Bombyx mori: one gene and its partner. The protein of the gene in region 2 purifies or fractionates together with the protein of the main gene of each other region. This does not show direct contact. Links are inferred from orthologs where the notes say so. Each region holds a gene or a part of one and is shown on either strand. Other genes may lie near its edges.

The links.
Region 1: the proteins of tRNA (adenine(58)-N(1))-methyltransferase non-catalytic subunit TRM6 (region 2) and tRNA (adenine(58)-N(1))-methyltransferase catalytic subunit TRMT61A purify together in Homo sapiens (affinity purification with mass spectrometry; 4 studies listed by BioGRID and IntAct, counting the BioPlex papers as one, with this or other methods). This does not show direct contact. The link is inferred for Bombyx mori from reciprocal best matches to the Homo sapiens genes TRMT6 and TRMT61A.

Annotation. Positions count from the first base shown.
Region 1 is NC_085113.1:5,808,733-5,813,161, reverse strand, and holds the start of tRNA (adenine(58)-N(1))-methyltransferase catalytic subunit TRMT61A, read right to left. Parts: upstream 3,061-4,429; 5' UTR 2,820-3,060; coding exon 2,625-2,819; intron 1,904-2,624; coding exon 1,747-1,903; intron 1,418-1,746; coding exon 1,275-1,417; intron 372-1,274; coding exon 242-371; intron 1-241. UniProt on the Homo sapiens protein: Catalytic subunit of tRNA (adenine-N(1)-)-methyltransferase, which catalyzes the formation of N(1)-methyladenine at position 58 (m1A58) in initiator methionyl-tRNA.
Region 2 is NC_085121.1:7,673,800-7,678,314, reverse strand, and holds tRNA (adenine(58)-N(1))-methyltransferase non-catalytic subunit TRM6, read right to left. Parts: upstream 2,745-4,515; 5' UTR 2,687-2,744; coding exon 1,427-2,686; intron 637-1,426; coding exon 556-636; 3' UTR 510-555; downstream 1-509. Other genes in the region: anoctamin-5, read right to left, coding at 3,257-3,379, 3,706-3,842, 4,299-4,377. UniProt on the Homo sapiens protein: Substrate-binding subunit of tRNA (adenine-N(1)-)-methyltransferase, which catalyzes the formation of N(1)-methyladenine at position 58 (m1A58) in initiator methionyl-tRNA.

The DNA of each region.
Region 1 (4,429 bases), on a different chromosome or scaffold from region 2:
CGAGCTCACAGCCCACCTGGTGTTAAGTGGTTACTGGAGCCCATAGACATCTACAACGTAAATGCGCCACACACCTTGAGATATAGTTCTAAGGTCTCAGTATAGTCACAACGGCTGCCCCACCCTTCAAACCGAAACGCATTACTGCTTCACAGCAGAAATAGGCGGGGCGGTGGTAATGTTTCCAAGATAAAATGAAAAATTCAAACTTTCTACCGAAATGTTGAAATTAGTGTCTTACCTTGTTCTTTGATGGCTTTTACTGCATGAGAAATTCCAAGCCAAGGACTGGGTAAATCCAAAAACACGGCATCCGCTTTCCCATTCAATTCTTCAGAAAAGCCGTCTCGTATGATGTCTCTGTGTTGCGCCTAAAACATTTTTAACTACCTACAGATTTTTCGACTTTTTTCTCTTCAGTTGCTTGTTAATCATTTGGGTAAAAAATTCAAGGTCCTGGCTTATCTATACATATACATAAAATTGGAGTGTCTGTTTGTAATATTGAAATAGTCTCTTTTTACTACATGCATAATATGAATATACGGTACATACACCAAAATAACATTTTTTTAAATTTTATTCTGTCTGTCTGTCTGTTTGTTCCGGCTAATCTCTGGAACGGCTGGACCGATTTTGACGGGTCTTTCACTGATAGGTAGCTGATGATATAAGGAGTAACTTAGACTACTTTTTTTGGACTAACTTTTCCCCGAGGCTTCACCCGGCTAACCGCGGGTAACATCGCGGGACTCAGCTATCAATAATAAAATTTAATGTTTCCGAAACGAAGCGAGGGCGGGTCGCTAGTTATAGAATAAACACATAAAATTACAATGAGGAAGAAATGGAATTGAGATGAAGGAAACTAGATATACATGAGAATAAAATAAATATGACATTGAAATTTACTTCAAAAATTTTGTGATTTTTTTATTGTAAATTGTAGGACTAAGGTTTGACAAAGTGAATACTATCCATAATAATTTAAAAGATATGTAGATTAGATGTATAGAATAGATAGCTAATATTTCAATTAAAAATCTCATAGATAATTCCACCATCTATTATATACTATGAAATCGAAACAAAAAAGACCTTACAAAAAACTTTGTATTAAGTGTTAGTAGTAATTATTTTGATTCTTTAACAATTATATTTCATATTTGCTTAGCTCAGTCTCAGATGTAACTTAAATTTCACTGCATTTTCTTTATACAGCCTATTTTATTATTTACACTAAAAATGTAGAGTACAATAGTTAATAAACTCACAGTAACAAAGTCGGCAACATCATGAGCCTCAAACTCTTCTCTAGCAATTTTGGATCTGTGCTCATGAAAATCAAAAGTGTAAACATGCCCTTCTGGCCGCACGCGACGTATGAGTGCATGAGTTAAGGAGCCACTACCTGTACCTGATAAAATAATGTAGGCATTAACATAGAGTTATGTACTGTTTAAGATGTGGTTTGTCATTAACATGTCTACAGACATTATGTTAAGGGACAGTTATTCTCAAAGTTCATTTAATCAAAATTAATCCTAAGAATTCTGTCTAGGGTGGAATTCTATATTGCTTTAGGGTTGCGAATATTATAACTATCATATTTAAATCAGATGACATGTGTTGTTCATGATCTGATATGATAAAAGGGATCACTCTCCAAAAGGCATTGTTTTAGAATGTCAGTTAATCAAAATTACCAAATCGGAACTTTAAGAAAACTACAAGTATACAACTCACCAGCTTCGATGACAACACAGCCAGGAACTAAGTCCAATTGGAACAGGATCATGCTTATGTCAGGCGTGTATATAATTTGAGTGCGGTGAGGCAATGTTAGGGACCACATCTCAGGGGTTGGCTGTAGTATGTGTCCCCAGCCCTTTGATAGTTCTATCTGTTGATATGCTTTAATTATGAGATGATTTGCTTCTATGTGGATATGTGCATTTTCCATGTAATGCACAAAATATATGAATTTAAACCATGTTCGTTTATTGTTTTGACTTAAAATATTTCTTTTGATAATTTCCAAGTAAGTGATTTGAAAACAGCAATAACATGTTGCAATAATAAACAGTTTTGCTATTCCAAAGTCAGTAAATAATTCATTTTCGCATTATTTTTATTATTATCTATGTAAGCCAACCTAATGGTAAGTGCTTATAATTGCTCGTGGAGATCAACAATGCCAAGTTACTGCCTATTGCTCCATTTACTCTGTTACATATAAATAGGTTTACCTCTTTGACAACATTTTAGTTAATTATGTATCACAAATATTAAAATTTTTGATATTTCTTTATTTTAGCTTTTTCACAATTGCAACTTATGAAAACTTTTTACTAGTAGTAGGGCATGGAATCGGAGGCATGCACAGGCAGATATCATCTTCCCATCTATCTGACTTCCAGTTTAAAGGTCAGAGTAGCTATTTCATAATACAGTTGAGATTTTGACCAGATACTTTAAATTGCTTGTAGTAATTGATAACTGTGGGCTTCTGTAATAATTAACCTATTTGTTATGTAGTCGGTTAGGTTATGTAGTTATTATCAGAAATATTAAACTATAAATGAAATGTAGCGTTCGGTATTAAAAATAATTCTAATACATACCCGACTTCCATACTGTATACCAATTAAGTTCCTTACTTTTAAAGCACCGAAAGGTGTTTGGAAGACATTCTCAATCGTTTCACCTTTCTTATTTTTAACTTCAGTCTTAACATCTATTGCATATAAATTGTTACTAAGGTATAAGATCACTGTATCTCCTTCATCTACTTTATCCTTATAATTTCTAAAACTCATTTTAAGTCAAATTTTCTTAACTATTTATGAAATTCAAAACTAATAAGTTTGTAAACAAACCACGAGGTCTGTCATTTAGTTTTGACAATCGACGTTCTGTTTTTCCTATGACAACCAATGTTCCCGAAAAATGATCAACATTTTAATTTCGAGTTCTACGGATTTTTGCTATTAAAGTATTTTAATTTAAATATTTTAATCAAATTTTGAAATTTCGACGAAACACCGATTAAACCAAGAATCAATAAAAATATTAAAATTGCTTTAAATGGAATTAAACGGAATCAGTTCAACATTTCAAAATGTCTATTTTTTTGACAGGAAAAAAAGCGCGGGAAACTTCGAATGTGCTGGTCGTTTATCTATAATTAAAATTAATTTTTGATGTTAATTGGATCAGTTGGGTAATATAGTATTAATATTTTAGTATATTTGTATCTATTTAATCCACGTTTTATTATTTTCTTCGTTTGATTTGGTAAGTTATTCTTATAATTTCTTAGATTGTATTAATGTTTGATCCGGACGACCCTGGGGGCTACGGCCCCCAGGTGTCGAATGAAATTACTATTGATTTTAATTCTGGAATAGATACTGAGGGATCTGTACTAGATTCCGATTGCTCTAACCAAACTAGAACTAACTCCAAAAGAAAAAGATCACATGCTAGTAAGATCTGCAAGCATTGCAACAAGAAAAAAAGAAAACATCTTAAATCTGCTATTGATAGTTGTGAATCAGACTGTAGATGTGATTTAGCCCCTCCTGCAACCATTGATACCCCAATGCAGTCAAATTCTCAATCGATAATTAATGCAAATTCAGCGTCTCAATCTTCTACTGACAACAAAAAGCGGACACAGCAGTCTATAGGTAGAATTCTTTACCAGTCGTCAGATGCCTCGCCTTTTATAGTCCATGTTCAAAAAATACAACAAAATCCAAATGATAACTCCTCTATCCACCCAATTTCATTTGGGCAGTTTTTAAAAAAAAATTCATTTAAAAATATTGTAAATGGTAGCCTGAAGCGCATTGGTCGAAACAGAATTTTACTTGCGTTTAGCCATTTTGAAGATGCTAATGCCTTCCTACATCATCCTGCAGTAATTAAGAATAATTTTAAAACTTTCATTCCGACTAATAATGTAACACGTATGGGTGTAGTAAGAGGAATTCCAACGGACTGGACAGAAGAAGAGATTTTAAAAAATATAAATGTTCCATTTGGATGTGGACCTATTCTTAAAGTAAGAAGATTAAATAAAAAACAAATTAATAATGGTAACACTAATTTTATTCCAATTGAAACAGTAGTGCTCACCTTCGATGGCCAAGTCTTACCAAAACGTGTATATTTATGTTATAATTCTTTACCTGTTGATCTGTACATATACCCAACTATTCAGTGTTTTCAATGCTGTCGATATGGTCACATTAAAACACAATGTAGGTCTTCTCCCCGTTGTTTTAAATGTGGTAATGGCCACTCAGGGGACAGTTGTAATATTGAAGAGGAAAATGTCATATGTTGCCTTTGTTCTGGATCACATTTCGCCACTAGCCGCAAATGCCCTGAATTTTTTAGACAAAAATCCATCAAAGAATCT
Region 2 (4,515 bases):
GAAAAAAAATGCAGCTTTTTTATAGCTTAACACAGCCATGCTTTTGTAGCTTATAGTAAAAGGAACTAAACATTTTAAGTGCCAAATTAATTTGAAAATCTCATCAAAATTATGCAACACATCAACAAAGTTCCTCTCGAATATAAATCACTGTTCAATTTACATTTATAAATAACATCAAATGCATAGTTAACATTGACTGATTTACATTCCTTCACTTACCTTTGTTACTGTACTGTGCAATTTTTACATTTAAAATCATACATGCTTATTTTCATTCTAGTAATAAAAATTTAAGATCTTAGAACAATTTTATTTAACTTGGTTGATAATTTTATTTTACTTTTAAACTTTAATATTATGGAAAATAAAATCAGCAACTGCACTTCATTGCATGTCAGTGTTGAATTGATGCATTTAGACAAAAATGAATCCCTATCATCTATGATCACTTGAGAATATTTAAATAAATTTTGTATCAAAAGAGGTGTTTCTTTTAAAAAAAATACTTTTGTATAAAAATTTATTAATATAAAGTTGTAACAAACATAATTCTCATTTAAGTACATATCCTGATAACAAATACCCACTAGCACCATTCATAATAACATCTGGACGTGTTCGTTCTGGCAAAACCTACAATGTGAAAACAAATGAAAATTTTATTAATATTTAAAAGTTTGGGACTTTCAGAGATAAAATGAGCTGTTAGACATGCTAGAAAAAAATTTTTTTTGTGGGAACAACAGTGGAAATATTAACATCTTAGAGAACATTGTTTTATATATTCCAACAGGCAGATAAATAACCAGACAATCATAAGCCATCAATGATGTTTATATTATTATCAGTGTAACAACTGTTGATGATATTGACCTTGAATGACATGTTTAGACCACCAAAAAAAGATAATTACACATACAAGTAGTATCCTTTATGTTATAATTATCAATAATTTGTCAGTTTTTGTGTGATCCCTTACCTACAAAAAGTTATAAATAAATAGTATAGACAATATACAGATATGCATAATAAAGTTTGATGCAAGTTTGATGATTGCTTGGATTCAGGCTTATCATCTATTTTATTAGTGCAGTCAGTGTGTATTATTTAAGTATAATTTTTCTTTTTGCTGCATTTTCTTATATTATGAAATGATTGGAAATAGTTTTTGATTATAGATTAAGGGTCTTTATCTTTAATCAAATTGTTTTCAGTATGCCATGCACTCTATTAGTGGTATTAAGTAAGTTTACCATGTCTGTTCACAGTATAATGTGATTTACTTAATTTCTATTAGTTTACTTGAGCATAATTATGTTTAAGAGGTGAAATTAATTGGTACTTACTGATTTTTTCTACATATTTGATAAATTATATGGTTGTTGATGTTCAATAATAACAAAATTAAAATAAAGAAGCTTACCTGGTAATTCCTCATCCAGTTGCTTGTGAGTTTTAATGCTGCAACATTACTTTGTGATTTTAAAGCTAAGTATAGATTTTGTAATGGCTCTGATACATTATAGTAAATAACAAATGGTCGGCCAGGTTTGATAAAATTAACTAATTCAAGAAATATATTTTGAGGATCTTCCTTACAAGTTATAACCAATGAATCCAATTTTTTTTCAAGAATTTGTGCAGCATAAATGTTATCGAAATGCCATTTTGGTATCTTTGGATCACCTTTGTTACTATTTTCCTTTAATTCATCAATTACTGGTTCAGATACTTCTTCATCAGGTTTAGCAATTTTTCTTCTAGGTTCATTGTCATTTTCTACTAATTTTCTTTTTAATTGATTTGACTCTGTGATAGGAATTTCTTTTATATTTTCATTGGAATTTGTATCACAACCTTGATAAAATTGTCTTAATGCAGAATAAACATTAACAGAAATACATCTCTTAAGTTGTTCTTCTGGAAAATTCATAGCTAAGAGAGCTTGTTTCTGAGACATGTTGCCGGGGTGCATGTGGACTAGTCTACCATTAGTATTTTGACCAATAGAACTTAATAAAGCTGCAGCAACTAAACCATTAGATCCAGAGTCATATAATAAATGATTTCCCTCACAATAAATATTCACAGTTGTAATAATCTGTGACAAAGTGTCTATTCTTAAATTTTGAACTTTACCAGGTTCTAATTTATACATGATTTCTGCTATCGTTCTTAGGTTAGGTTTTAATATTTGTAAATATTCAAAATATTTCTTTTCTTTCTTCTTTAAATACTTCTCCTGAGAAAACTCTGTTTTATTGTGAAAGGTATTTGAATTAGTAATTAAAGATTCTATAATATCTGAAGCCCTATTAGCGTCATTCTTCAGATCTTCGATTTCTGCAGCTGTCAGTTTCTGTGAGAGTCCATCATCAACGATGTTTCTATTATCACTACCAGATAATTTTATCTCAATCTCATCTTTTAGATTGACCACCTCGTCAGTTAGCTCCACTGTGTATTCCCTGGCTTTTTTGTTACTTTTACTTATCATTTTGAAAGTAGAAAAGTATCGACACCCCTCAATGCCATTTAAATTAATACTGTCTCTTCCTACGGTAATAGTAGAATTAGGTTTATTATACTTGTGAAGCTTTTTGAAATTCTGCTTTTGGATTACAATATAGTCTCCTATTTTAATCATATTGTCACTCATTTTTGAAACTTTTCCCGTGAGCATTGAGCAATAAAGTCTTCAAAGTTTACATAAAAACATAGATTACAGACAAACGTCAAACTTTTTTGATTCGTCCAGTGAATAGGCTAATGAATCCCTACCCATATAGCCAAATCTTTAGTAACGAAGGCTGAAACCATATCTGTCGTGTGAAACACAAGCGAAAGTTGTTAAATCAGATTTATTTGTATAGTTAGCAGACTTTGCTAAAAATAGGGGGAATTTTTCAATTCGAATGTTTTTGTAACTGTGTTACGCAATGTCAATTTAGGTGATATTCTATTGAATACAATAAAACGTTTTTAAGGTAATGTCTCTATTATGGTTAGTGGAAACTTACTATAATAGAGATGGCCACGCACATCTTTTGCGGTAAGTTCCCTTAAATTATTATTTGGTGGTATGAATCTTGTAAAGCACAGAATAATTACATTTGGAAATTGTATTTATTCTTTATACGTAATCAGCTCTTTTTGTATTTGTATGTGTACATTTCGGAAATACAGAAATGCAGTTCAAACAAAACAAGAAATTTAATACAGTATTTATTTTGTCAAGTAGATTTCAAACGCATTATCCTGTGTATGTGATATAAGCTTCTTTCAGTTTCCGTTCTATTTTTATAGTGTCCTCAACGTCTTTCGATGTACCAGAGATTAAATATTGAGCTAATAAGACAACCATCAACCCGACATACTGTAAAAAAAATACATAATAAATAAGACAGTTTAAAATAATTTAACACAAAAAATACTGACCTGCCTAAGGTTTTTTTTGCTGTAGATAGGAGAACAAGTTCGCGGCTCAAAATGAGACTAACACCAATGGGACGAACTGCAGTTAACGGATAGAAACCGGAAAAAATCTCTTCGGACGGTGATAAATATCGATGATGATGGTCAAATGATAGGGGGCACGAAAAAAAGTAAGCTAATTTATGCTTTGCTAAAATATCTTAGAAATTCTTATCATCTACGACGGTTAGATCTTTACGCACAACAGTATCGAGATTTTTTTCTTACCTCATAAATTATTAGTGAACTATTCTCCTGAGTTTTTATTTGGTAATGCTCCGGTAAAGGAACATAATTAGGATAAAAGTAAAAGATGTTAAAATTTGGAAACTGCACCTTATATTCAGGTAGATACAACATCACACCTGTTAAAACAATAACTTCATATAATCTAAGTACTGTAGGTACCTATTGGAAATCAAGAACAACAAATTATAACAGGGGATATTTGTATGGCCGCACGGGTAGATTATGGTGCCTTGTCTAGTTCTAGCATAAGGCAGTTATGCGTTCGGGTTTAAAGGCATAGGTCTGCCGTTATACTACATAACTGAGATTTAGACCTCCTGTCTCAAGAGCGTGACTTCGAAAGCATTGAAGCGTAATAAGACCCTTAACAGGCCGCAAGCCATTGTAACCCAGGACCGTATCTTCCCCGCATATCACGGATACTGTCTTTCTTTGGTCTAAAGGTTGGTCGACGAGATTACACAGCCGAAAGCAGAAAGCATGCCGAAATATTTGCAACATAAAGAAATGTGTCACTGTGACTGGATTATATAACCGAGTTATATTAAAGAGAACATTAAACGAGTAGGTACCGGGATAGTAGCAATCGTTGGGAATGAATCCTTTGTAGGCTTTAAAGGATTTTGACATCGTACTCAACTTCAAGAAATCCTAAAACCAAAATACAAGTTTTTTACAAAGTTTTATTAGATAAAATAATCAACCAATAATCAATTTACTAACGGTTATCATACATTACAGATTGAACGATATGATTGGACAGTAACTTAAATGTGCAGACGGAATAAC